Linked DNA regions of Xenopus tropicalis. The protein of the gene in region 6 interacts with the protein of the main gene of each other region in a pairwise test. Links are inferred from orthologs where the notes say so. Each region holds a gene or a part of one and is shown on either strand. Other genes may lie near its edges.

What was found.
Region 1: the proteins of crk (region 6) and psmc6 interact in binary tests that used the Homo sapiens proteins (3 or more experiments, as listed by UniProt). The two-hybrid records come from large-scale screens. The link is inferred for Xenopus tropicalis from reciprocal best matches to the Homo sapiens genes CRK and PSMC6.
Region 2: the proteins of crk (region 6) and ptpn4 interact in binary tests that used the Homo sapiens proteins (3 or more experiments, as listed by UniProt). The link is inferred for Xenopus tropicalis from reciprocal best matches to the Homo sapiens genes CRK and PTPN4.
Region 3: the proteins of crk (region 6) and ppfibp2 interact in binary tests that used the Homo sapiens proteins (3 or more experiments, as listed by UniProt). The link is inferred for Xenopus tropicalis from reciprocal best matches to the Homo sapiens genes CRK and PPFIBP2.
Region 4: the proteins of crk (region 6) and atxn1 interact in binary tests that used the Homo sapiens proteins (3 or more experiments, as listed by UniProt). The link is inferred for Xenopus tropicalis from reciprocal best matches to the Homo sapiens genes CRK and ATXN1.
Region 5: the proteins of crk (region 6) and usp53 interact in binary tests that used the Homo sapiens proteins (3 or more experiments, as listed by UniProt). The two-hybrid records come from large-scale screens. The link is inferred for Xenopus tropicalis from reciprocal best matches to the Homo sapiens genes CRK and USP53.

The regions. Positions count from the first base shown.
Region 1 is NC_030684.2:94,536,129-94,540,149, forward strand, and holds the start of psmc6 (26S protease regulatory subunit 10B), read left to right. Parts: upstream 1-1,202; 5' UTR 1,203-1,215; coding exon 1,216-1,300; intron 1,301-3,291; coding exon 3,292-3,371; intron 3,372-3,455; coding exon 3,456-3,495; intron 3,496-3,837; coding exon 3,838-3,890; intron 3,891-4,021. UniProt on the Homo sapiens protein: Component of the 26S proteasome, a multiprotein complex involved in the ATP-dependent degradation of ubiquitinated proteins.
Region 2 is NC_030685.2:88,032,525-88,036,638, reverse strand, and holds the start of ptpn4 (tyrosine-protein phosphatase non-receptor type 4), read right to left. Parts: upstream 2,806-4,114; 5' UTR 2,516-2,805; exon of another isoform or gene 2,511-2,515; intron 850-2,510; 5' UTR 662-849; coding exon 649-661; intron 1-648. UniProt on the Homo sapiens protein: Phosphatase that plays a role in immunity, learning, synaptic plasticity or cell homeostasis. Regulates neuronal cell homeostasis by protecting neurons against apoptosis.
Region 3 is NC_030680.2:16,389,704-16,393,228, forward strand, and holds part of ppfibp2 (liprin-beta-2), read right to left. Parts: intron 2,175-3,525; coding exon 2,007-2,174; intron 1-2,006. UniProt on the Homo sapiens protein: May regulate the disassembly of focal adhesions. Did not bind receptor-like tyrosine phosphatases type 2A.
Region 4 is NC_030682.2:93,271,146-93,275,119, reverse strand, and holds the start of atxn1 (ataxin-1), read right to left. Parts: upstream 2,821-3,974; 5' UTR 1,754-2,820; intron 133-1,753; exon of another isoform or gene 1-132. UniProt on the Homo sapiens protein: Chromatin-binding factor that repress Notch signaling in the absence of Notch intracellular domain by acting as a CBF1 corepressor. Binds to the HEY promoter and might assist, along with NCOR2, RBPJ-mediated repression. Binds RNA in vitro.
Region 5 is NC_030677.2:70,829,443-70,832,967, reverse strand, and holds part of usp53 (inactive ubiquitin carboxyl-terminal hydrolase 53), read right to left. Parts: coding exon 3,505-3,525; intron 1,994-3,504; coding exon 1,264-1,993; intron 1-1,263. UniProt on the Homo sapiens protein: Deubiquitinase that mediates 'Lys-63'-linked deubiquitination of tight junction proteins, such as MARVELD2 and LSR, and which is involved in the survival of auditory hair cells and hearing.
Region 6 is NC_030678.2:46,102,799-46,106,858, forward strand, and holds the start of crk (adapter molecule crk), read right to left. Parts: upstream 2,804-4,060; 5' UTR 2,676-2,803; coding exon 2,456-2,675; intron 1-2,455. UniProt on the Homo sapiens protein: Involved in cell branching and adhesion mediated by BCAR1-CRK-RAPGEF1 signaling and activation of RAP1.

The DNA.
Region 1 (4,021 bases), on a different chromosome or scaffold from region 6:
AAGAACTCACTCCCCCCCCCCCTTAAGAATGTGGATCTGAGCCAATCAGCAGAAAGCTGACTCATAGTCTAACTAACTGGGCATGTACACTTGGTCTGGATCTTGGTGCAGGAGCGAGGCATTATGGGAACTTTCTTTACACAGCCCAGTGTTTTTTCTTCCTGTTTGGCTTCTGATCATCTGAACAGGTGAAATATGGGGAGACTTAAGAGCACTATTGAGAGAACAGCAGCTTGAGATTAACTCTTTATTAGCCTTTCCTTCTCTTTTAATTTCTATTTCACCTCTTTTTACCAGTCTTATGCTTAGAATTATTGTCCTAAAAGACTGATGCACTCTTCAGATTGGAGCATAAGATATTTTATCTGGCAAATCAGAAAATACTTTTTTAATGAACTATGAATACGTCAGTCCCATGTAACAAAAAATGGGTGCAATTCACTATTTCTTTGCACTTCGCACACAGAGACATGTGGCCCTTTCATTTATACAGTGTTCTCCCTGCATAGGGCAGAAGTCTGTATTCAAGGTAGCAATGTGTGTGTGATTGGTGCAACTCTGACAGATTTTAGATCTGTCCCATTTAAAACTGTTGTCTACAAATGCACTGTTAGGCATGGTATATCTGTTTGATCCACAGGCAGATGCCCAGATGGCACACCAATATTATAACTAAAAAAATAAATTTTTTGGTTTAAGAATGACAGAGTGAATTATTTGCTATATAAACAGTGTCATTTAGAAATAAAAAGTACACTAAAAATCATGACAGAATCTCTTTAACATACTAAACTGTCACTTTTAAAAACTGTGTGAATAAAAAGTTGATTCAGAATAAGCAAACATTGTGAGCTTTCTCACGAAATTCTTTGTACACATCACACCACAATTTGTTCTGTACACTGGGATTAAAATATGAAGGAACATTGATAGTAAAAGAACCATGTAGTGCCTCAGGAATGCCTGTGGAGCCAGAGGAGCCGCAGCCTGCTGACGTATAGTTCCACAACCCATTGCCTCAAGACCTCAGAAGCCCTCTTCCCTGCAATGTAATACAACCTCCTTCCACAGAGAGCGCAATGACAAACCAAAGACGTTTCCACTGAAGGTCCTCTCTAGCCGCCTATGCGCAGAGATTCGCTTCTCGTTTGTTGCTTAGCTCCCCTAGCGGCTATGGCCCTTCCCGGCATTCCCTATGAGCAGCGGCTTCTCATCATGGCGGACCCACGGGAGAAGGCGCTGCAGGATTACAGGAAGAAATTGCTGGAGCACAAGGAGATAGATGGCCGGCTGAAGGAATGTGAGTGCTGGGTGAAACCCCGGGAAGTGTTCATCTCAGTAAAGCTAAGCTCAAGCTGCTGTTCTGTGTGAGCGCTTCATACATTTCATGCCCCAAGTCGCTTTGTCATGGCGGCCTGGGCCTTCTGCTGTCTGAAAGAAGCACAGTGTGGACACAGCTGTATAGGGGGTATCTGAGGATTTTATTCATGCTTAAGCCATTTTTGCCTTATACGGTAGAAGATGCTGATTGTTATTAACGCGAAAAAGCCGCACTTCGTGTTGAAAAGGTGCGATTTGTGCGTTTCTCTGCGGCTGATTCTGTGTACAGAGCAAAGCTCTGGGATCATGACACTTGGTACCTATTTAGGCCGGTGACACAGCGATACCGTACAGTCGTCTCCCCCCATAGGGATCCAGAAACTGCACCGTTTTAGCGCAATTATTGCCGTGTCACTGACCTGTTCCCTGTCACTGACCTGCCTCATTCGCTGCTGCTGTCACTACAGACTAGATTTGCTCACAACTGCAATGTTAATAATTGCACAGATTGGACAAGTATTTATTTACAGGTCCCCTCGTTCTAATAGTCACATATTCTTGTGCTGTTTTTCTCAACGGAAACCAACCAAAACTTTTCCGATTTTTTTGAATGCTTATGGATATTGGCTTCTGTTTCTGTGCTGTGTAAACCCCTCAGTTTTTTATATAAAACGCAGCTAAACCTTTTTATTTATTTATTATTGTTGTGCAGTTTGAGTCCAGTCAAGAAGCAGCAATAACATCAGCATTGTAATGCCTAGTTTAGTCTGATGCAAGTAGACTTGTGCACTACACACAGCACAGTCATTTGCACTGGTGGATCAGTACTGTAAGGCAGTTGCTTGGAGTGCATGGATATTGTGTAAAGGTGGTGATGTCATTCAGTTGTATTAAAGGGGATTTTTGTGATCAAATCAATTTTTACTTTGAATGTCTATACCTACTGAACTGTTACTTCCTATATTTATTATGTCTGTTAACTTGACAGAGGCAGGTATAAGCTCTGGCACCATGAGAATGATGCCAAAAACTCACTTGCTGTCTTTTGTTAGCAGCTGCAGGTGTCGGATTAAGACACTACTTATACTTACACTGCTGCTGCATGCTTTCCCCAGCCACACATCTAGTGGCCAGGCTGCTTTTTCCTAACCTTTTAGATTGTCCCCAATTTTGATTGTTCCCACCCTCCACTGATGTTCAGGGCTGAATCATCAGATATGGAGGTAGAAACAATAGAAATTCAAGTTTCAAGTTTATTGTCATATACAAATAACAATGAAGCATCATTACTGTAATGAAATTTTTTTGACCCGTGTTCCTCCCAACTTTACATAGACAAACAAAACAAAAAAAATACAAATATTAAATATAATAAAAGTGTGCAATAAAGGTACAAGTATTTACAATAATAAAATGCAATATTTGAAATTGTGCAGTGAGGATTTAAAGTGGCTTTGCTTAAAGTGACACTGGGAAGAGTCCAGTAGTTATGGGGAGTGTGTGTTGGTTTGGGTAGAATGTCAGCAGTTCAGAAGCCCGATGGCTTGTGGGTAGAAACTGTCTCTGTATCTGCTGGTGTGGGACTGGATGCTCCTGTACCGCCTGCCTGATGGTAGGAGCGTGAAAAGTCTGTGGCTGGGGTCAGAGAGGATCCGCTGCATCTTCTACCTCTTTCTGCCGATTCAGCCCTGAACATAGATTTTTGGGCGCTTCAATGGCTCCCGATCAAAATCTTTTAACCTGGCCAATCGATGGGTCGACCGATATCCACAGCCTTTTGCAATATCGGTCGCCTCGTCGATCTGCTGTATGTCAAATATTGTACAGAACGAGGTTTCGTACGATATTATCGGTGCATGTATGGCACACACCGATAATATTTAAACCAATTTAGGGAAGTTTAAATCAACTAAAGAGTTTTGGTTTCTATTTAAAGAGGGAGAACTACAACTGTATTTTCTTTTTTTGTAGTAAGAGAACAACTGAAAGAGCTCACCAAACAGTATGAAAAATCAGAGAATGACCTTAAAGCATTGCAGAGCGTTGGGCAGGTACAGCAGAATCTTTTTGTGTAGAAATATTCATGTGACTATTGGTTTAGTCGCAATTGTCTTATTTCTTTCCTTCAATTTTAGATTGTTGGGGAAGTTCTAAAGCAGCTTACTGAAGAAAAATGTAAGTTTCTTTTTATTATTATTTAATACTTAAGTAAATACTTTATCCACACAACTGTTTTGTCTTAGCATTGCACTTAACTATGTTAGCAGACCTTTTAAAATTGCAAACATTTATGGCAATGTTCACCCAAAAACAGCAGAAAGGGATACACAAGTAGTACATTCAGCTGCAGTTACATTCACAAATAACTACAAAACCACTGAAAACAATTAATGTGTATTTGAGCATTGGTTAAAATTATATTTTCCTTTATTGTGTGAGATCCCCTTTAACACATGACAATTAGAATTTGGCATTTTGTATTGAAGTTTTAATCAGAATGTGGTTTTGTGTTTTCAGTCATTGTTAAAGCAACGAATGGTCCAAGATATGTTGTTGGTTGTCGTCGACAGGTAATAAGATTTTGTCTGTTTTTGTTTTACATACTTAAAATGGTCATTAGCTACATGGCTTTTGTATAGATTAAAGCTATCTTAAATGTCCTTATTCAGCTAAAGTAAAACAGGCCATGCACGCCCTGATT
Region 2 (4,114 bases), on a different chromosome or scaffold from region 6:
ATTATTTGCTTATAATGGAGTCTATGGGAGATGGCCTTCTTGTAATTCAGACCTTTCTGGATAACAGATCCCATACCTGTACATGAAAGCAACAGAAAAACCCTGATTTCCACCAAAATATGGGCTACCCCCTAAATGAACTATAAATCACAGCTAGCAGGGGCTTCTGGGAAATGTAGTTCCGGACCCAGTGAAGGGAAGCCAGCTGCTCATCCCGGGAAGCCCTCGGGGAGGGATCCGTCGCCGCTGCTTGGAACTGCCTAGAAACAGGTTTTTTGTAGAAATGACCTATTTTGCCCATAGAAACCAACTGCAATCTATTTCCAGCCAACTGCTGGGGAGGTGCAAACCGGGTCAACTACCCGGGGCCCGCAGAGTGGGGGCCACTGTATAGTAGGCTGAGGGCACAACTTGGGGCCCTCCAGTAGCACAATCACCCCCCAACAGCAGGAGGGCCCCAGGCCATTCAGAAGGGCCACAGGTTGGATCATTCTTCCTCTAACTACTAGAACTGGGACAGAACTGCACCCCAAATGATACTTAATGCACAACATTTTCTATAAAATAACTGCCCCCCTGAAAAACACAATTTGGGGGTGCAGCAAGCATTTGAGGGGTGAAGGGGAATAAAGCGAGGAAACTACACACCTTTTACCTTCATATAAGGGCCGAGTTCTGCAGTGAGCTGGGAGGAACTGGGTTCTTGATCAGCCGGCACAAGGGGGGGTTCTGCTTCCCAAATGATCCGTTAGTTCCCATGGATTGTCCAACGAAGCCGCCCCAACGGTAACAATGGGACCCTCATACTGGAGCCCGCGCGGGGGGGGGACCGGGGTAGAACTGGGGGCACTAAATAAGAGGGTGCAGGTAAGAGAGGGTGCAAAGCGAAGAATGGGGGGGGGGCAAAGAACAAATTATGAATTATAGGGAATAAATGCAGAGAATAAAGCTGGGGGGGGGGATTATATAAATGTCTCTGGGATCTGACACCGAGGAGGAAGAATTTGGCGCGGGGGGGAGTAAGAACGAACCCAAAGGTTCTGAATCGTGCAAAGGGCAGGGGCCCAAGGGGAAGGTGGCGGTGGGGCCCAAGGGGAAGGTGGCGGGGGGCCCAAGGGGAAGGTGGCGGGGGGCCCAAGGGGAAGGTGGCGGGGGCCCCAAGGGGAAGGTGGCGGGGGCCCCAAGGGGAAGGTGGCGGGGGCCCCAAGGGGAAGGTGGCGGGGGCCCCAAGGGGAAGGTGGCGGGGGCCCCAACGGGAAGGTGGCGGGGGCCCCAACGGGAAGGTGGCGGGGGCCCCAACGGGAAGGTGGCGGGGGCCCCAACGGGAAGGTGGCGGGGGCCCCAACGGGAAGGTGGCGGGGGCCCCAACGGGAAGGTGGCGGGGGCCCCAAGGGGAAGGTGGCGGGGGCCCCAAGATGCAGTGAAAGACAATAGGGCACCAAACCAGTGAGTGGGGGGCTAGGAGTTATGGGGTGCAGATCCTGGGGGGCACCTGACAAGTGGAGATGACAGACTGGGGTACGAGGGGGAGAAATAGAAGAACAGTAACCAGTTATTTAGGGGCGCGCGGGGTGCACATCACACAAGGGGGGACCTGGCATCACATGAGAGAAGGAGGGGTGCACAGATCTCCCTTACAAAGAAGGGGTGCAGGCAGATAGGAGACAGGACTGGGGGTACAGTGATAGGCACAAGGGACCCCAGCAGGGGACAGTAACGGGTAACTAAGGGGCAAATCATACAGTCAGGGGGCAGAAGACATTGCAATACTAACCATACAAAGAACCCCTCAGCTATTTGGGGGTGCAGGCTATTATGTGATACAGAGAGGAAAGGGGGTACAGCTGGCACAGGGGGGGCACAGAGACACTGCAGCTCCAACAAGGGAATCCTTTATGGCTATATGGGGGGCCGGGGGGTTCCCCACAGGATGCAGGGGGTTCCTATAGGGAGCAGGAGGGCTCCCCAGGGGCCGGGGGGTTCCCCACAGGATGCAGGGGGTTCCTATAGGGAGCAGGAGGGCTCCCCAGGGGCCAGGGGGTTCCCCACAGGATGCAGGGGGTTCCTATAGGGAGCAGGAGGGCTCCCCAGGGGCCGGGGGGTTCCCCACAGGATGCAGGGGGTTCCTATAGGGAGCAGGAGGGCTCCCCAGGGGCCGGGGGGTTCCCCACAGGATGCAGGGGGTTCCTATAGGGAGCAGGAGGGCTCCCCAGGGGCCGGGGGGTTCCCCACAGGATGCAGGGGGTTCCTATAGGGAGCAGGAGGGCTCCCCAGGGGCCGGGGGGTTCCCCACAGGATGCAGGGGGTTCCTATAGGGAGCAGGAGGGCTCCCCAGGGGCCGGGGGGTTCCCCACAGGATGCAGGGGGTTCCTATAGGGAGCAGGAGGGCTCCCCAGGGGCCGGAGGGCTCCCCACAGGATGCAGGGCCCCTATAGGCTGCGGGGGGTTGAGCGGAGGCAGCGGGGAAGGCAGGAGAGGCTGCAGGGACACAGAGAGCCCCGCTGGGGTACCGTACGCTGCGGCTGTTCCTGCAGGAGGTTCGGTCCGTACGGAGGGAGCTGTGGGAGAGCCTACAGGGGGCAGAGAGCGCCGCGGAGGTGACGCTGTCGCGGTTCCAGCCCGGGAGTCTGACAGCAGCCGATCCAATAATCCGTACGAAGGGTCCGGGACCCCGGCCCGGGGGGATGAGTCGCCTCCGGCCTCGGATTGTGGAGGAGTGTGGGGAGGCGAGGGGCAAGGCTTGCTACATCCCCGCCCCTCTGTGTCACCGAGCTCCGCCCTCCGCCCCGCAGCCTAGCAACCCAGCCTGGCGCAGCCCAGCCAACTCTCGCGAGACTACCACAATCCTATCCCCCGAGACTTCCGCATTCCCCTCGGCTGCCTAGCAACCCGCTCTAGCCTTGCGGGATTTCCCTCCCAACATCCCGCGATAATTGCCCTTAAACCAGTGACGTAATGTTTAGTACTGAGGTAGCGGCTGGGGCTGCGCTAGTTCTGCCTGGGGGGCCCCGGGAGGCAGTCCCTCCCCTTTTAAACAATAATTTAATATTTTACAATATTTTTTTAATTTGTATTCAATATATGTAGTGAATAAAGTACCCCCTGTTGTAAAATGAAGGGATTTTATAAGTCACAGAGGAGTTCCATATAAAGGGATGAGACTGAAGGCAGAGGGTTGTTATACAGGTCATGGAACTCTGAGGTGATTCCTAATATCCTTATATTAGTCAACAGGGGGTACTTTATTATGTTGGTTTTCTAAACGCTACTCCTCCTACAGTTTTAGGGGTACAACACCCAAACTCCCCACACATCTTCGCCCTATAGCGGAGCAGGCTGCTTGTGCTTTTCTAAGTGATCCCGCCCCCCGTCTTTTTGTGGCGCCGCTCCAAACCCCCCAATTTTTCCATTGACTTTGACAGGGAAGATTTTCAAACTGCTGCCGCACTTACAGCTTTGAAGCTACACCCCCCAAACGTGAATAACATAATCACGGGGTCACCCCGAATGAAACAGCTACATTAGTTGGATGACCCCAATGTGGGAGGAGCCAACAACACCCAATCAAATTTCACCCATTGACTTTTATGGGGAAATTGAAACTGCTGCCAATCTTACAGATTTGGGGCCACACACCCCAAACTTGAATCACATAGTCATGGGCTCAGCCTGAATGAAAATTGATATTTGTTGGATCCCCAAAAGTAGGCGGAGCTACGAACAGCTTTTTTTACGATCAGATTTTACCTATTGACTTTCAATGGGGAAATCTAACCTGCTGCCAGTCTCACAGTATTAACTCTGGGGGTCCCCAAACTTGGGGTTTACTTAGGGACTAAGGTTAAAGATTAGGAAAAGTGGGTGGAGCCACCAACTTTCAATGGTGAAATCCCCAAAGCAGAGTTGGTCACTGGGGGACTGCAGTTCAAAAATAGGAAAAAAGGGTTGGGCCACTAACAGCCAATCAGATTTCATCCATTGAATTTCATTGGCTTTAATATAAAATGCTGCCATCCTCACGCTATTTATGCCAGGGTGCCCACTGTTTCTCATTGGGTGACTTCGACTCAAGGTTAGAAAAAGTGGGCGGGGGCCACAAACCACCAATCACAAT
Region 3 (3,525 bases), on a different chromosome or scaffold from region 6:
AGTAAACCTTTAAAAATAAGATTATGTAGAATAGGAATTTTATAAATAGCTGAAATAGGAAACTGACACGGGTTGAGGAGTATTTCTATATTTTGGGTAATAAACTGCAGACTCCAGGTGGCTGATTCGACCGATATCCTGACAATTATTACCACAAAGGGTAAGGAGGGCAGAGAAGCGGAGATGTTCAGGGTGTCGACTTTAAGTCTCTGCTCTGTGATTGGTTCCCATAAGACTAAAGAGCCTCTTTGAACTTCTTTTTCCCATGTTGGCTATGGGAAAGCATCCCTCTCGGTCACATTTTAGACAGCAGCCTCAGTTGATGATAACAACTTGTTATGGAAACAAACACCATGTAACATGTAGACCTTCAACTCTTGGACTACAGAAACATTAGGCTCCATTAATGTGCTTTACCTAGCCTGCAAGGTGCATATGTTTCCCAGCATGCCATACAGTTAACTCAGGTTGCCTGGGAGATGCCCCTTCCAAGCCACACACACAAAAAGTACAGTAGGCAGCAAATAGTAATTTATGGGCCAGGGGAAAAGCATTAACAGCCCAAGAGCCCCCTCTGATCTTGAGCCCTGTTGGACAACCAAGTGTCTGCCAGCAGTTGACTCATAGTTGGTGCATATTTCCCCTGGAAGGTCTCTTCATGCTTTTCTAATAACACACGGCACACAAACACCATGCAAATGCAGTCACTATTGTTTGGGGTGTGTGAGGATGGCTTGGATTGTTCAGTCTAAAATATTTTCCATTAAAGGAGAAAGTAAGGTAGAATCACTGGGGAAGGGGGGTACAAGTTGTTCATCAATTACCTCCTACCTTGGGTTGGCATGCCTCTTCTTATAAAAAAATGTTCTGGCTTGGGGACTTGTTGTGAGGGGGGGGACTAATTGTGAGCTCCATGGCAGAGTGGAGTCCCAGGCACCCCCTGTTCCTATTGATGTTGGGAACATGCACAGGTTTTGGCCACAAAATTTCTGTAGTGTATATGAACTTGCCCCGGGGCAACACAGGAGATGCCTTAGCACTAGCAAGTAAAGGTGCCAGGCACCATAAGGTCATTTAGGGTCTCAATGGGGTGTGCGAGGCCTGCTGGGCTGCTACCTCAGGGTCCCCCGTCACCTGATCTACCACCACCAGCTCCTCCCACTACGTGCAGCTTATACTTACTTTTGCCGCATTCAGGGGAGGCGGCCAGTGGGGGATCGCTGGGTGAGTGTTGGCGGGGATTGAATGTGGGTTGATGGGGCCCACTGGGATTTTCCCTGGCACCCACCAGGGATCCTACTTTTCCTTCTCCTTTATTATATAAAGGATGAGGGAAACATGGGTGTCCTTAATGGGGGCTACTAATAGGGGCAGATGCCGCTACCAGTTTTAGACTAAAGTCAGGGCCACTGGATCATTGAGGTTTATGAATAAAGTGGCCTCACTGGAGCAATAAGGTTTAAAAAAAAAAAAAGACGACTCCCAGGGCACAAGAACCAATGGAAATTTGTTTTACTGAATATTTATAGAAAAATAAAAGTAAATGTAAAATCCTCCTTATACACAGAGTACATTAACCTTTCATAACTTCCATTTATATCCCTAATTTCCTTCTTTTTCAACTATATACACTATGTTACATCAGTTTCATTTAACCATCTTTTGGGGTGACAATTTCTCTCTCACTCAAATAAAAAATATTTGGAATAGGGATATTTAGGGAATAGGGAATTGGGATATTTAAATACTTGTGGCTAAGGCAGAACGCAGGCGTACTGGGCGGGGCATTACTTGGTGCTCCTGTAGCCTCTTGGGAGAAAAAAAAGATGCTATGGAATTGTCTGTTGCCTTGGTAACGATATGGGGGGGAATAAAAGTCAGCGCCCCCATAGTGATGCCATGTATGTGAGGGTAGGAAGATGAGACAAATGAAGATGCAGAGTTATTTGAGAAACACTGAGGATTATGGGAATGGATGCCGGATGCCATCAAACCAGTCTGCCCACCTGCTCCACTTTGTCGTTCTCTTTGGTGGAGCTCGCGCTCGTCACTTTAAAATCAGCGCAGCCCCTTTGGGTACCGTTTGTAGCGTCCACCGGGCACACGTAGTCTGTTGTCTCGTCGAATTTCTTTTTCCGCAGCTGCCCGAAGTTGGATAAGCTGATTTTCTTGGGCTGAAATGGAAGCAACATTTTCAGCACAATAATGGCTGATTATATTCTCATTATAGAGCTTCGGTGTAGTTATTTTATGGGCGTTTATTATATGGGGGTCTTCTGAGATGCAACAGTACTATGGTTCAGAGTCATGAAGGGTCTATGAGTAACTTAGTAAGTTGGGTTGAAAAAAGACATATGTCCATCACGTTCAACCATAATGCCTATACCTAACCTGCCTAACTACTAGTTGATCCAGAGGAAGGCAAAAAAACCCCATCTGAAGCCTCTCTAATTTGCCACAGAGGGGAAAAAATTCCTTCCTGACTCCAAGATGGCAATCGGACCAGTCCTGAGTCCGCTCTGACTGACTGCAGCCTCCTTTTAGTAAAACAACTGACTTAACTCTGTAATTATGGGGAATCGCACTAGAGTTTTATTGGCCAAATCACTCAATAGGTGGTCCCCACACACTCATAATCATAACAACCTGAAGGAAGAGGCTATCAAACTTTTTAGTTCAGGCTCCCTTGAATGTCCAAACTTTGTAATTTAACCCCTAAATTTTCTTACGATGTATATAAGTTGGGCACATCTCGCTCACCCCCAACTACACCATTTGTACTGCATATATCCCCTCTGTTCGCCAGGAACATCACATTTTCCTAAAACAAATAGCAACTTTCAACCAGCAGCCACTTTCCCTCTCACACATCTTCAGTGACATTTACATCAACAAACAGCACATATGTGCTGTAAAGTTCATGCAATATAGAATGCAGGCTTACACGGGCAGAACTTACTTTGACAAAAGGCCCTGCTTGGACTGAGCACTGTAATGGTTAAACTGAGCTCAGGAGAGGAAGTTAGGAGAAAACACATGTTTCTCCAGCAGAGTGCACAGCTAGAACAGACTTTTTATGGTAACCAGCAATGCCAACTCTTCATTGGCTGCTAGACTGGAGGGTGAGTTTGGTAACCTGAGTTGAGGAGAACTGAGCATGCTCAGTAAGCCAAGAGCCAAAGTCAGTACCTAAGGGAGGGGGCCAAGTGGATTATAGGAGGAGAAGGAATCCCAAGTGATTAAGGGGATGCCAGGCCAGCCCCTGCTACTCAATAGATTTAATCACAAGCCCCTGATAAAAATTATGACCATGAATATGAATTTTATTTGCTGAAACTTGGGGTTGACACTTGGCTGGTACTTTACAAATCTAGTCTGTTAAATGCCAGCTAAGACAGGGGGCAGTGAGATTAATTAATGGGCAATGTACCTGCTAGCATATGTAGTCTTACCCATCCCTCAACCACTCCAAGTCCAGTTACGTTCTGTATGTCCAATTCCCTCTCCCACAACAAACTGCTTCTA
Region 4 (3,974 bases), on a different chromosome or scaffold from region 6:
AGAACACAATAATCCTTCATCCAAGCGAGCTTCCACACTGGGCAAGCATTTATGTACAGCTACATCTCAGATGAGATAAGACTGTCATATGGCTCCACGTCATTCAGAGAGAATGACCCAATTCTAGTGATTTTTAAATGCTCTAGCAGATCTGTAGCCTTGAAGCGCGTCATGTAGAAAAATACTTCTTGTTTCGGCAGCTCACACGACTCTTCTAGGTTGTTATAATATTTTTGCACATTAAAACGGAGGCCAATAGAATATAGAAATACCTGTGCTTTCTGCAACTGTTTTTTGTCTGTAATCACAACCTGATTAACCTAAACAATAATACCAGTGCCATTAATGCCTGAAAACACAATAAGCAGAGGAACCATCCCCTTGCAAAGTAGATCTGCTTTAACTGAGATAAGCCTCTTAACACAATATAGTTTAGTATTTTGCATGTATTGCAATTTATGTGCTCACTCCTAAAAATCCATGCCTTGTGCGAGCACAATAACTGTCATATTTAAAAATGGCAACTGTTACTTTTATAAAAGTGTTTCTGGAAGGAGCAGACTGGATCATACTGTTCTCCAGGAGGGCAGGGTAAAAGCAGCGAGGACAGAACCCAGCACTGTGGGGTGGAGCAGTCTGTCTGCCAAATGCTCCGGGCCTGTCTTTCTATCAGCACTAGGCCGTGGTTCAGAACACAATGCCTTGGCTTTAATGTAGGGCAACTTGTATTACTTAGGCCAGCTCTGTGCAAATTCCTAACCACATTCTGTCATTGGTTAGGCCTATTTACATGAATTCAAAGTAGAGCAACAATAATAATAATAATATGGACTGTATGTAGTGAAAGTGCAACATAAGAGCTAAAATGCAGCCCTGTCTGTTTAATTTTGATCACAAACATGTAAGCTCACTAAACATTGAACTACATGGCTTAATATCATTAATAAAAAAAATATATTAGAAAGGATTTTATACCTAGTAAGCCAGGTTTTATGGCTGCTTTCAGGGAAGTGCCAGGGATGCTGGTAGTTGTAGTCCAGCCAAAGAGGGCCGCATGTTGGGCATGCCTAATTTACCTAATTACCTCTATTCAGCCTTCTAGCTTTCTGTATCTGTAGCCCTTCCAGTTCTTTTATGTTCATGAATAATGGAATAACCCTACAATCAAAATAATGGCAAGATTGTGCAAGTGTCTCTATAGTAATCTGGAACCAGGTGGTCTCCATAGAAGAGAAGCAGACTGATAGATCAGACAGTAGGAGGAGGGGACTAAGAGAGGTGACATAAACGTGTGCTCTCCTCTCTCGTACACACACTCACACTGGCTCTCTTCATTACCCCATGGGGAAAGCAATTACTGCAGTCTCCCTATTACTGATCAGGGTAAAACACTCTATTACTCTCAGTTCCTATGGAAAGCAGGCCCCACTCTACACGAAACACAGACAGCGGCACTCATCAAGAACATTTGCACCGATGGTGCACTCCTGGTAGGCACTGCACTATATCATTTCAGCGAACAGAAAAAATACATGCCTGTATCTCTGACTGATTTCACTTATCGCTGCTTCTTTCAGGGGGTATAAAAAGCAGGAAAAATAAGCCTGTGATCTGTAGTTCTGCAAGGCTTACAGATGATCCCAGAGAAGCTTCTGTACATGGAAATGCTATAGTACATGCATGTATAGCACTTGCCCACTAAGGTCTGCATGATCAGAACAGAAAAGTGAAGAGACAAATAAAATCGACTTACTGTAAAGTGCAGTATAGGGGCTTGTTGGATGAAGAGGGTGTCTGAGCTATTGCTTTTTTTTTCCTCCTACTCTGCCCCCCCTCGCAGAAAGACAGGTCTTGTACGTCTCCTCTACTGTAGTAGAAATGATGTCTGCAGTACAGCTCTCTCCCTCTCTCTCTCCAGTATGTAAATGTGTAATAGAAGCCAAATATGGAGCAGTTGGCTGCCTCTGCAACAGCTCAAGGATCCTACTTCATGCAAAAGGGAGGAAGGGGGGGGGCAGAGAGTGTGTGTGGAGGCAAGGCAACACTCTGGCAGACGGCCAAGGCAGCCACACAGATTATTGCATACGCACAACAGAGCTGGGGCGGTCGGCTTTAACCCCTTCTACGTGCTGATCCGCCAGCCTGCCGTATACTTGTTGTATCTCTACAGCTACTGAGGGTGCAGTTTTAAATGTGGGTGTTCCCCTTAAAAGAAAAACAAAGAGGTTTTCGGGATTCTTCTTCAGGATCATTTAAAGGAAGAAAGTGCGAGCAGAGACGTAGCAGCAGCGCGGAGTAACTTTAATACGTGCACACGTTTGATTCCTGTAGGGTGTGTGCCTCTGTTGGAAAGAGAAGAAGGGGTGGAGGAGAGGCAGAGAGTAGGAATTGTAAGGGCAAGCCAAGCTCAATGTCCACAGAGAGGAACAACGCAGACCTTACGTGTTCACGTCATGTAGGAAATCGCTTCTGGCTTAACCCTATCTGTGCCAGCAGGCTGAACAATGGAATTCATTCCACCACATAAGCCTTTTTTCAATAAGGCACCGTCCTATTTGTGTGAATGTGTTTTCCTATCTCATAAGGGAATGAAAATCCCTGAAACTTTCAGCTTTGGGCATACCCCTTCATGTAAAGACGTTTTCTATTACAGCTCACTTCCTGGGTGCTTCAGCTGCTGCCTTGTGGGAAACAGCACCAAGGGCACCTATTGCCTGTGATTTTCTGACTGTTTGTCCAGCAGGTGTCAAGTGTTTGAGGACTTTTCTAACCTGTTGTGTTTTTTTTTCCTCTCTCCAGGGAACAGAGGGTTACTGAAAAGCATGCTAACAGACTCGGTGACCCTGAAGAGTACCCTCTGGTGGTAAAACATAATAGGTTGTGGAAAACACAGCAAGCAGATGGCTTGTTTCCTTCATATATGTCATGCAGTGGTTTTTTTTGTTGTTTCACAGTTCCAATGCCCTGCAATAAGTAACAGCAAACACAGTAAAGTGTACACACGGCTTCCTGGCTGAACATTGCCCCTGGTACAAACAAACAGTCCAGGCTGGTTGTATTAAGCGATATAGAGGGCATCTTCCATCAGCCACCAACACTAAAGGTGGCCTTTGGGGGGGTGATATGAATAAAAGTACCTAAGATGTATTATAAGTCTTTAAGTAGTTAGAAGGATGTCTCACAGTTGTTTAGCTGCAGTACCAAACTGAACTGTAGGTCAAAAATGGGCGTAGGGCCACAGCTTTAAGTGAATATTCAAACAAGCATACAAGCAATATACAAAAAAGTATTAAAAAAGTGGGAAAAAATACTACTCTTTTAATGCATGTTTTTTGTGTTTTGAACTCCTCCAAGGTGTGTCTTTAGCTATCTCAGTTTAAGACGGAGTGAGCATCAGTGGTCCATACTGAAGAGAGAGAAATGGGAGCAACCAAACGCGGATCAAGATGTGGCATGCATTAAAGACTGGATAAGGCTGACCTGCTGGGCCCACAGGAGCCATGACAGATAAGCTTATAAGCTTTTACAAAATATGTACAATACTGTTACATGTATTGTTATTATAAATTACCCTTATGACTTTTGAGTATTTAATTGCAGCATGTTAACTGCTGATTAATTGCTATTTATTTGAATAGATCTGGAGCAAACTTTGCACCTATTTTCTTCCATTTCTCCTAACAGATACTAGTAATAGGTATATATAGAATAGATAGGTATATATATAGATAGATAGTATAGTGGTTTAGGTAATATTTGGCTATTTTATAACCATATTGTTATTCTCCAGAAGCAGAATCGGATACAATGTAGAAGAATGTTGAAATAAGCTTGAATGCTTAGAATGCTGAGAAATAAGGTATTTCATAAACTGTCAAACATAAATCTCACAGGTAAAGTATCGATAAATGTAACTATTACTCAATAACATTTATGTATATGGTGCAGTAATAAATAATAACTAGGGACTATTT
Region 5 (3,525 bases), on a different chromosome or scaffold from region 6:
ATATTTAAACATTTTCGGTATTGTCTATGCCTGGGTATATACATTTTGTAATGGCTAATTACAAGTAGCTGCATGTGTCATAGCCCTTATTAAAGGTACAATAGCAGCTATTGCCCTGACCCCTAAGGGCCAATCCACCGCCTTCCACCCCTTTGTAATTGTGTGCAGACGGCATGGGATCAACCGGTCAGCAGGAAAATGAACACTTCAGCTTTTTAGCACTGTGCAGCTGGCAAGCTAATACTGTGCCTGCCAGGGCACACACATACAAGGCGTGGAGGCCAGTGGATAGGCTTGTTTCTGCTAGTGTATTTAAGCCAGTAGAGAAATCAACCCATGTACCATGAGCCTAAGGCATCACCTGATTGATTTTTTGAATGCCACTAATTGCCATGGCTTTAGAATGGGCATCTTATGGAAATGAAGCTTGTTTGATGGATGTGCTGAAATATCATTCCATTAATTAAGCACACAGCTATGCCAGATATATTGGAGCAATTCTGAACAATGCAATTTTCATACATACATACAAATGCAGTATGCATCTGAACAAAAAGACTAATCAGCAATAGCGCAAGTCAGTATTACAGGCATGAAATGGCAAGTCTCTACTGGCAGTTTTCATGAACTTACTTATTTAAAGGGGAATTGCTGGGTCATAAGACTACATAATAAATATAAATGGAACAGGAACACATAAGAACTGGGCTGTACTGAAGGGAGCACATGAAAATACAGCGTGCAGATGAAATGATGCAATTCGAATTTTACCTGTGCTCAGTGTTTAAATGTCCTGTACGAGAGAGTGCTTATTAAACTTAGAAGATACTGACTGAACAGCAAAGTCTGCTGTTTTTTACCACAAATCCAAATCCTTCTCAATTAAGGACCCCCAACAAACTTCTATTATGTATATAATTAGCATTCTTATTTTTACCAAAGAGTACTTATCAACATTGCTGCCCAATTCTTCAGTTTAGTCAAATCCTGAAAATGTCCTGCATAGAGCTTAAAGTTTTGTACATTTCAGTATCATGAACAAACAATAAGACAGTGCTTACAATGCCAACCTCAAGGTTACCAATCAAGCAAGTAAAAAAGCAAAGGACAGATCCCTGCAGTACTCCATTAACAACACTGGCTCAATAAGAAAATGCTCCATTTACCCTCACTCTTTGTAATCTATCCTTCAGCCAGTTCTCTATCAAGTAAAAATGTTAGGAACTTGATATTGTTATTGTATTGTTAATGTAACCTGCATACCTGCACAGGCTGGTTTCTTGCAAGCCCCTCCCATCAGCAAAACCAATCCCTTCAATAATAGGTGAATCCAGATTGCTTGACCCGCTGCTGATGTGATCGCTACTTTCATATCCAGATTCAGTTCTCTGCCAGTTGTCAAGGTGGTACATCTTCATATCTGCAGTAACTTTGTTCCGATCTGCTTGACTTTTTCCTAATGATTCCAAGGAACTCCTGCTGCCAGATTCCTGTTTTATCTCATCCTCAAAGATAGTCATCAGAGTATTACGTTTTGGGCTCTCTTTTGATGGTGGGTTAAAACTATGATCCCTGGCAGATTGTTTTCCATTTGAGCCTACTAAATGTCTTGGGCTATGTTGGCTTTTATCAGTGTCATTGAAAATGCTATCCACATTAAGTGTCTCCCGCATAGGCTTCCAAGTTTTTTTATTTCTGGAGTTTGGTTTTTCTCTGTATTCCTGACTACTGTCTGTATCATAACCAGCTGAAAAATTGTTTTTCACCCTGGCCACTTGCTTGGATTCAGGAATTGTGGCATGCCCTGCATTAAAAGAAGAAGATTGTCTAGGCTGGCTCGTTGGTCTTTCTTGCTTGTACGGACCTTTCCCTTGACTACTAAAGAAATGAGCATCAGGATACTTCCTAAAGCCATTAAAAGAGGGGGAGGATTCAGACTTGAGATGCACTACTGTGCTAGGCTTTGAATTGTATGCCATTCCTCCTGAAGTCTCTGAAAAAAAAAAAAAATAAGAAAAATAAATCCTGAGTACTGAATCTGAAATAGAATTGCAATGCACATTATAAAACAAAATAGTTTGGAGAGATTTTTCAAATTGGATATCATGTTCAAAAGCAACCTGCAATACCAATTTTCACTGTCCCCTACGGATAAGCTGCAGACACAACTCTGATGCTTGAGAACACAATGCACCTGCCATAAACTGGTAAAACCCCTAAATTAAAATTATTAAAATATAATTTTCCTTACAAAAGAAATGAAGAATGACAGTATTATTAATACCAACAATAAAAAATATCTATCTTTTTTTTTGGGGGGGGGGGGGCTCCCCATACTTCAGCCGTTCAGAAGATCAGAAGCCAAACAAAGAAAAAAAAACGCTGAGCTGGGTAGAGAAGATTTCCCATACTACATCGCTCTCCCAAGACTTAGAGACTCGTTACTGCAGGCAGCGCGTGGGCAGAGAGAAGAAGCGTCTGGTTGCCTAGGCAACCCAGCGTCGCAGAGTTCTCTGACAGGCAGGAGGGGGAGGGCGAGCTGGTGCTGTGAGCGCCGATTGTTTATGGCAGGAGCGGGGGTTTGTGGAGCTTGGGGGGGGTTTGTGGCAGGAGTGGGGGGGGGGGGGGTTGTGGAGCTGCAGAAACTTTGTGACAGGAGCAGGGAGCTGGCTTGTGCTTTTCAGCCCATAGAGACACGCTGGAATATAGCGTTTTTACACAGCAATAGTAGTACTTTTTAATAGTGTGCTTAATAGATTTTGCCTTTCCTTCTCCTTTAACAATACAAAATATGTGACATTCTTGGCAATTCCATGCTTGAGACATGGGAAAACCCCTTGACATTTTTACTATAACAGGTCTGAAGCACACAACGCAGAATTGTACAAAACTGGTTTGCCAAAATAGGAGTGGTAGAACTTGACTAGTTTGAACTGAAGCCACGTGGGATGAACTGGAATGCTAGCTGCAAGTCAGGCATGATCATTTAACAGCAATGCCTAATCTCAGTATTTTGCTATTGTGGCTGCTCTTGAAGTAAAAGCCCTTCCACAAAGAGTAGAGGCTACTATTACAGCAAAGAGAGAAAAACTATTCATAATAATTAGTGATGAGCAAATTTTTTCACCAGGCATGGATTCACAGCAAATTTCCATATTTTGCCATTGCCGAATAGTTTTGCAAAACTTCGTTGTGGAAAAATTTGGCGTGATCTCATCAAAAAAAGGGCGGACAACCAAAAAGGATGCGGGCAAATGTGTTTCGCTAATTTTTCGCTGAAGCGAAACGGGACAGATTTACTCATCACTAATAATAATGCCTTTGAATTTTGAAAGACATATTGGCGAGTCAGGTGCTCGGATACTTTTTAGAAATATAGCGTATGTTTGAGAGTACAGGCAGGTCTAGTGAATGTTAACAGAAAAATGAAAAGGTGCCATTGTCACATTAACTGTTCCATGGCAAAAGCAAGGAAACCAACCAGCAAAGTAAAGTTTACATTACCCTTGGGTCTGATGATTTCTT
Region 6 (4,060 bases):
CACCAGGCAAGAAAAAAAAACTGCATGGATTTTAAGAATGCTAATTAAAATATGGTAGAAACATTAAAAATAAAAAAAATGAAGAAAAAGTACTGTATTTTGTATGGGTTCCAGGTAATCCAGTAAAAATATAGTGTAATTTATACTCAAAATGTATACTCAGAATCATTGCAGATGTGTCATGCAAACAAGTAGCACTGGAACACACAATACACACATGTAAAAGTGAAGAGCACAATCTGGTCTTTATTCCCACAACTTAAACCATTGGGTGACAGTGTGAATGTAGTATGTCCTATTCCACATACAATTAACAAAAAAAAAAAAAAAAAAAAAAAAAAAAAAAGAGAGAGAGAGATGGCCCTTCACTACTCTGAAATTGGGCCACACTTGCTAAGAAAATTATCCATGTGTCATGGACAAGCATGAATTGTTTCCACTGTGTGCTAAGGGGACTTTTATAAGCAAAATGATTCATGATTTTACAAATTAACTAAACGTTTCTTATTAAAGTTACGGGATTGGAAGAAACTGTTTTACGAGTTTCAGCAACTGGCCCACAATATTAATTGTATCACTATAAAGAAAATAAACGCTTATCTTTCAGTCCACAACTAAATGACTTTCCCTGCCTGCAGCTGCTTCCTGTAGGTTTGAAGGGAAATGTACTACCAATGGTAGACTCTGGCGCTGCCAGGTCAGGATTGCATGGGTATGCCAGTGATTGTTCCCTATATGGTAGTTCGGGCATTTCTCATATAAAGTGTGTGCCCAGTTCCAAAGTAGTAGCTGCTTAGCGTGCACGAGGGTTTTGTTCCTGAAAGGAATAAGGGTACAAAATGTGCCCAAATTCTTAAAGCACAAATCTGGACAATAAACTCTTTGGTGCTTGGACTTAGATCTTAATAATTGTGCATAAAAGCACAGTGGAAGACCTATATAAACAAATAAGTTGAGTAAAGATGATGTGACAATATAGTTTCCCACAAGCATTGTCCCATAAAATAAGGAACTGTAATACTGGGGAATTCCTCAACACATTTTAATTCCATGGGGGGGGGGGGGGGGGGGCAGAATGAAGCAGCAAAGTTAAATGAAAAACAAGATTTGCGGAACCGACTGATTTGTTTGTTGTAAATTCAAATTTTACCTACGTTTGGCGCAGAGATTTTGCTTGGGGTATGTTGCAATAGTGTCTTTGGAAAAAACAAAGATTGAGCCACAGTGCAATTTTTATTTATTTTTCAGAAAATCAAAGGAAGCCATTCAAAGTGCAACCTAGACTATGAATCAGTGGTTTCTCATTTGCTATCAACACTAAAAGGGATTTTTACGGATGCATTCACCAAATCAAAAGAAAAACCTTTTGTTGGATGTTCCTGTTTAAGGAAGTTGAACACACACTTTGAGGTCAGGTATGCAAACCACTAACACAACTATTTCCTATGAAATCACGGAAAGCCTCTACATAATTGAAATATGAAAAAAAACCAGTCTGCTCACAAACTTACAATTTTAAATCCAACTCCTTGTTTGCACTATAATGACCTGGGAGCAGTTGTCCATTCAGTAAATCTGGAACACAGATGACTATGAGGCCTGGACTGGCAATCTGTCTATTCCAGTGATCCCCAACCAGTGGTTCGTGAGCTACATGCTGCTCCCCAACTCCCAGTGGCCTCAAAGCAGGTGCTTATTTTTTAATTTCTGGTTATGAGGCAAGTTTTGGTTGCATAAAAACCCAGTGTAATGCCAAACAGAGCCTCCTGTAGGCTGCCATTCCACATAGGGGCTACCAAATAGCCAATTATAGCTCTTATTTTCACCCCCAGGAACTTTTTTCATGCTTGTGTTGCTCACCAACACTTTTTCCATTTGAATGTGGCTCACAGGGATAAAAGGTTGGGGATCCCTGGTCTATTCTGTTAAATGCCAGAGGGGCTACTGTGAGTTGCCATAGACAGTCACTATCAAAAATGTTACAAGTTCTGTGTAATTAAAAACCAAAAACTGGGCTACCACTGCGCCCCAACTAAACAGGGATATAACATGGCTCTAATTCTAAGACTCAGTGACAAATGGCATATAATAAGGATGGACTGTGGCTCTCAAACTAATTGCTCACAAGCTCAAATGCCTACAAATGAGTTTAATGCCCCCAGTGCACCCAATACCGGAAAACCTTTGCATGCATTTCATTTTTCTATATTATAAATGTATATCTATATATATCTATATCTATATATATATATACACACACCAGTGTTTAGTCACTATGAGCAGTTTGGATAAGAGAAATAAATGCAAAGGGAATAGGCCCTCGGCTTTCTGCTGTAAGTGCCTGGCAGCTGCGCCTCTACAATTCACTAACACATGCAATGCAAAATATATTCTATTTATCGGTATTAGTGCAGCCGCCCCCACCTCACATGCGCTGCATGTAGCCCCTACTCACCAGTCCCACTCTGCCGGTTGTTGCTGACGCTGTTGATGATATAGTGGGAAACCTTGGAGTTCTCAGAGACAGACAATACGTAGTCACCAGGTATAGTTGTGGAGTCTCGAACTAAAAACACACCGTGCCGCTGGCCCTGCAGAAGATTGACCGCCTCTTGTCTGTTCAGCTTGCCCCAGTACCAGCTCGCCCGGTCCTCGGAGTCGAAGTTGCCCGCCATGGCTTTCCTCCCCCTATGGGCCTCTCCCTAGCGCCCCGGTACTCGATACTACCACCGGCTTAAGGCGGCAAAAGACGCCGCCCCCAAACCAGACGCGGCAACCAGTCTTCTAACTACCGATCCCGACCTCACCAATCCCGAAATGGCGGCACAGGAAAGATCTGACCTCACCTTCCGGAAATGCGTCATTGGAGCAGCGACTATGGAGCGCAGGGGGCGGGTTCTCTTGACAAGTTAGAATTCTGACTTTTAAAAAGCCGTGTTTGTGCTTCTTGCCGACCAAAACTAGTGCGCTCCCATTCGGTAATCAGGCCGCTGGGTGAAATGAGCCGTTTTAATCACGTATTTGTCAGTTTCTATCTTAGGGTAGACTAATCAAAACTAAACTACTGCTGTGATTGGTAACACCAACATTTTACTACTGGCGTAAATGAGCACCACTGTCTCATTTGAGTCTTGGAAGTGAATATTAGATACGTGGTAGGGGAAACCTTTGCACGGAATAAAATACATATATGTATGCCTGTTGTGAACAGTCGCAGGTTTTATCTAGGCAATGGCAAGGTCCAAAGGTCCATTACTCCAAATTGGTGGGGGATCAGGGCCAAGAGCAATATAGATTGTAAGCTCTATGGGGCAGGGACCTCCATCCTCTTGTGTCTTTGACTCTTATTGCAACTGTATTTATCTTGTATCTATCTGTATTTATTGTTATACTTTGTATTTATCTATTATTATCTTAATAATCCCCTGTTTGTATTAATGTATTCTACTGTACAGCGCTGTGTACATAAGTAGCGCTTTATAAATAAAAATATACATACAATGCAATATGTCCAGAGCCAAAGCCACTATTCATCTGTCCCTGATTCTTTATAACTTTATTGTAATAAAATGTATTTTAGGGAATAATGAACCATCTGCTAAAATTAAAGGATGTTAGAAGTCAGCAAAAAGTTTTATGACCTTATGAAAGCAGCAGGCCAATATATAGGGACTCCATCTTACATCCTCATCATGTTATAACAGGGGTTTTTATAATACACAACACAATATACAACAATATCATAATATCAAATTATAAAAAAAAAATCATGGCTCTTATGTAAATACTAAATAGTAAATATTGCCCCCTATGGTAAAATGTAAGGATATTGTAAGTATGCATGTATATCTTTATTTATAAAGCGCTACTTATGTATGCAGCGCTGTACAATAGAATAGATAAATACAAAGTATAACCATAAATACAAGGTACAGTTGCAATAAGTTAAAGGAGACAGATCCTATAAAAATTATGAATGTACCAGTGAATTATACTCCTCTAGATATAGAAGGATTGTGCTTTAAAAAGTTGTGTTTCCTGCTGATCTATTGAGAAATTC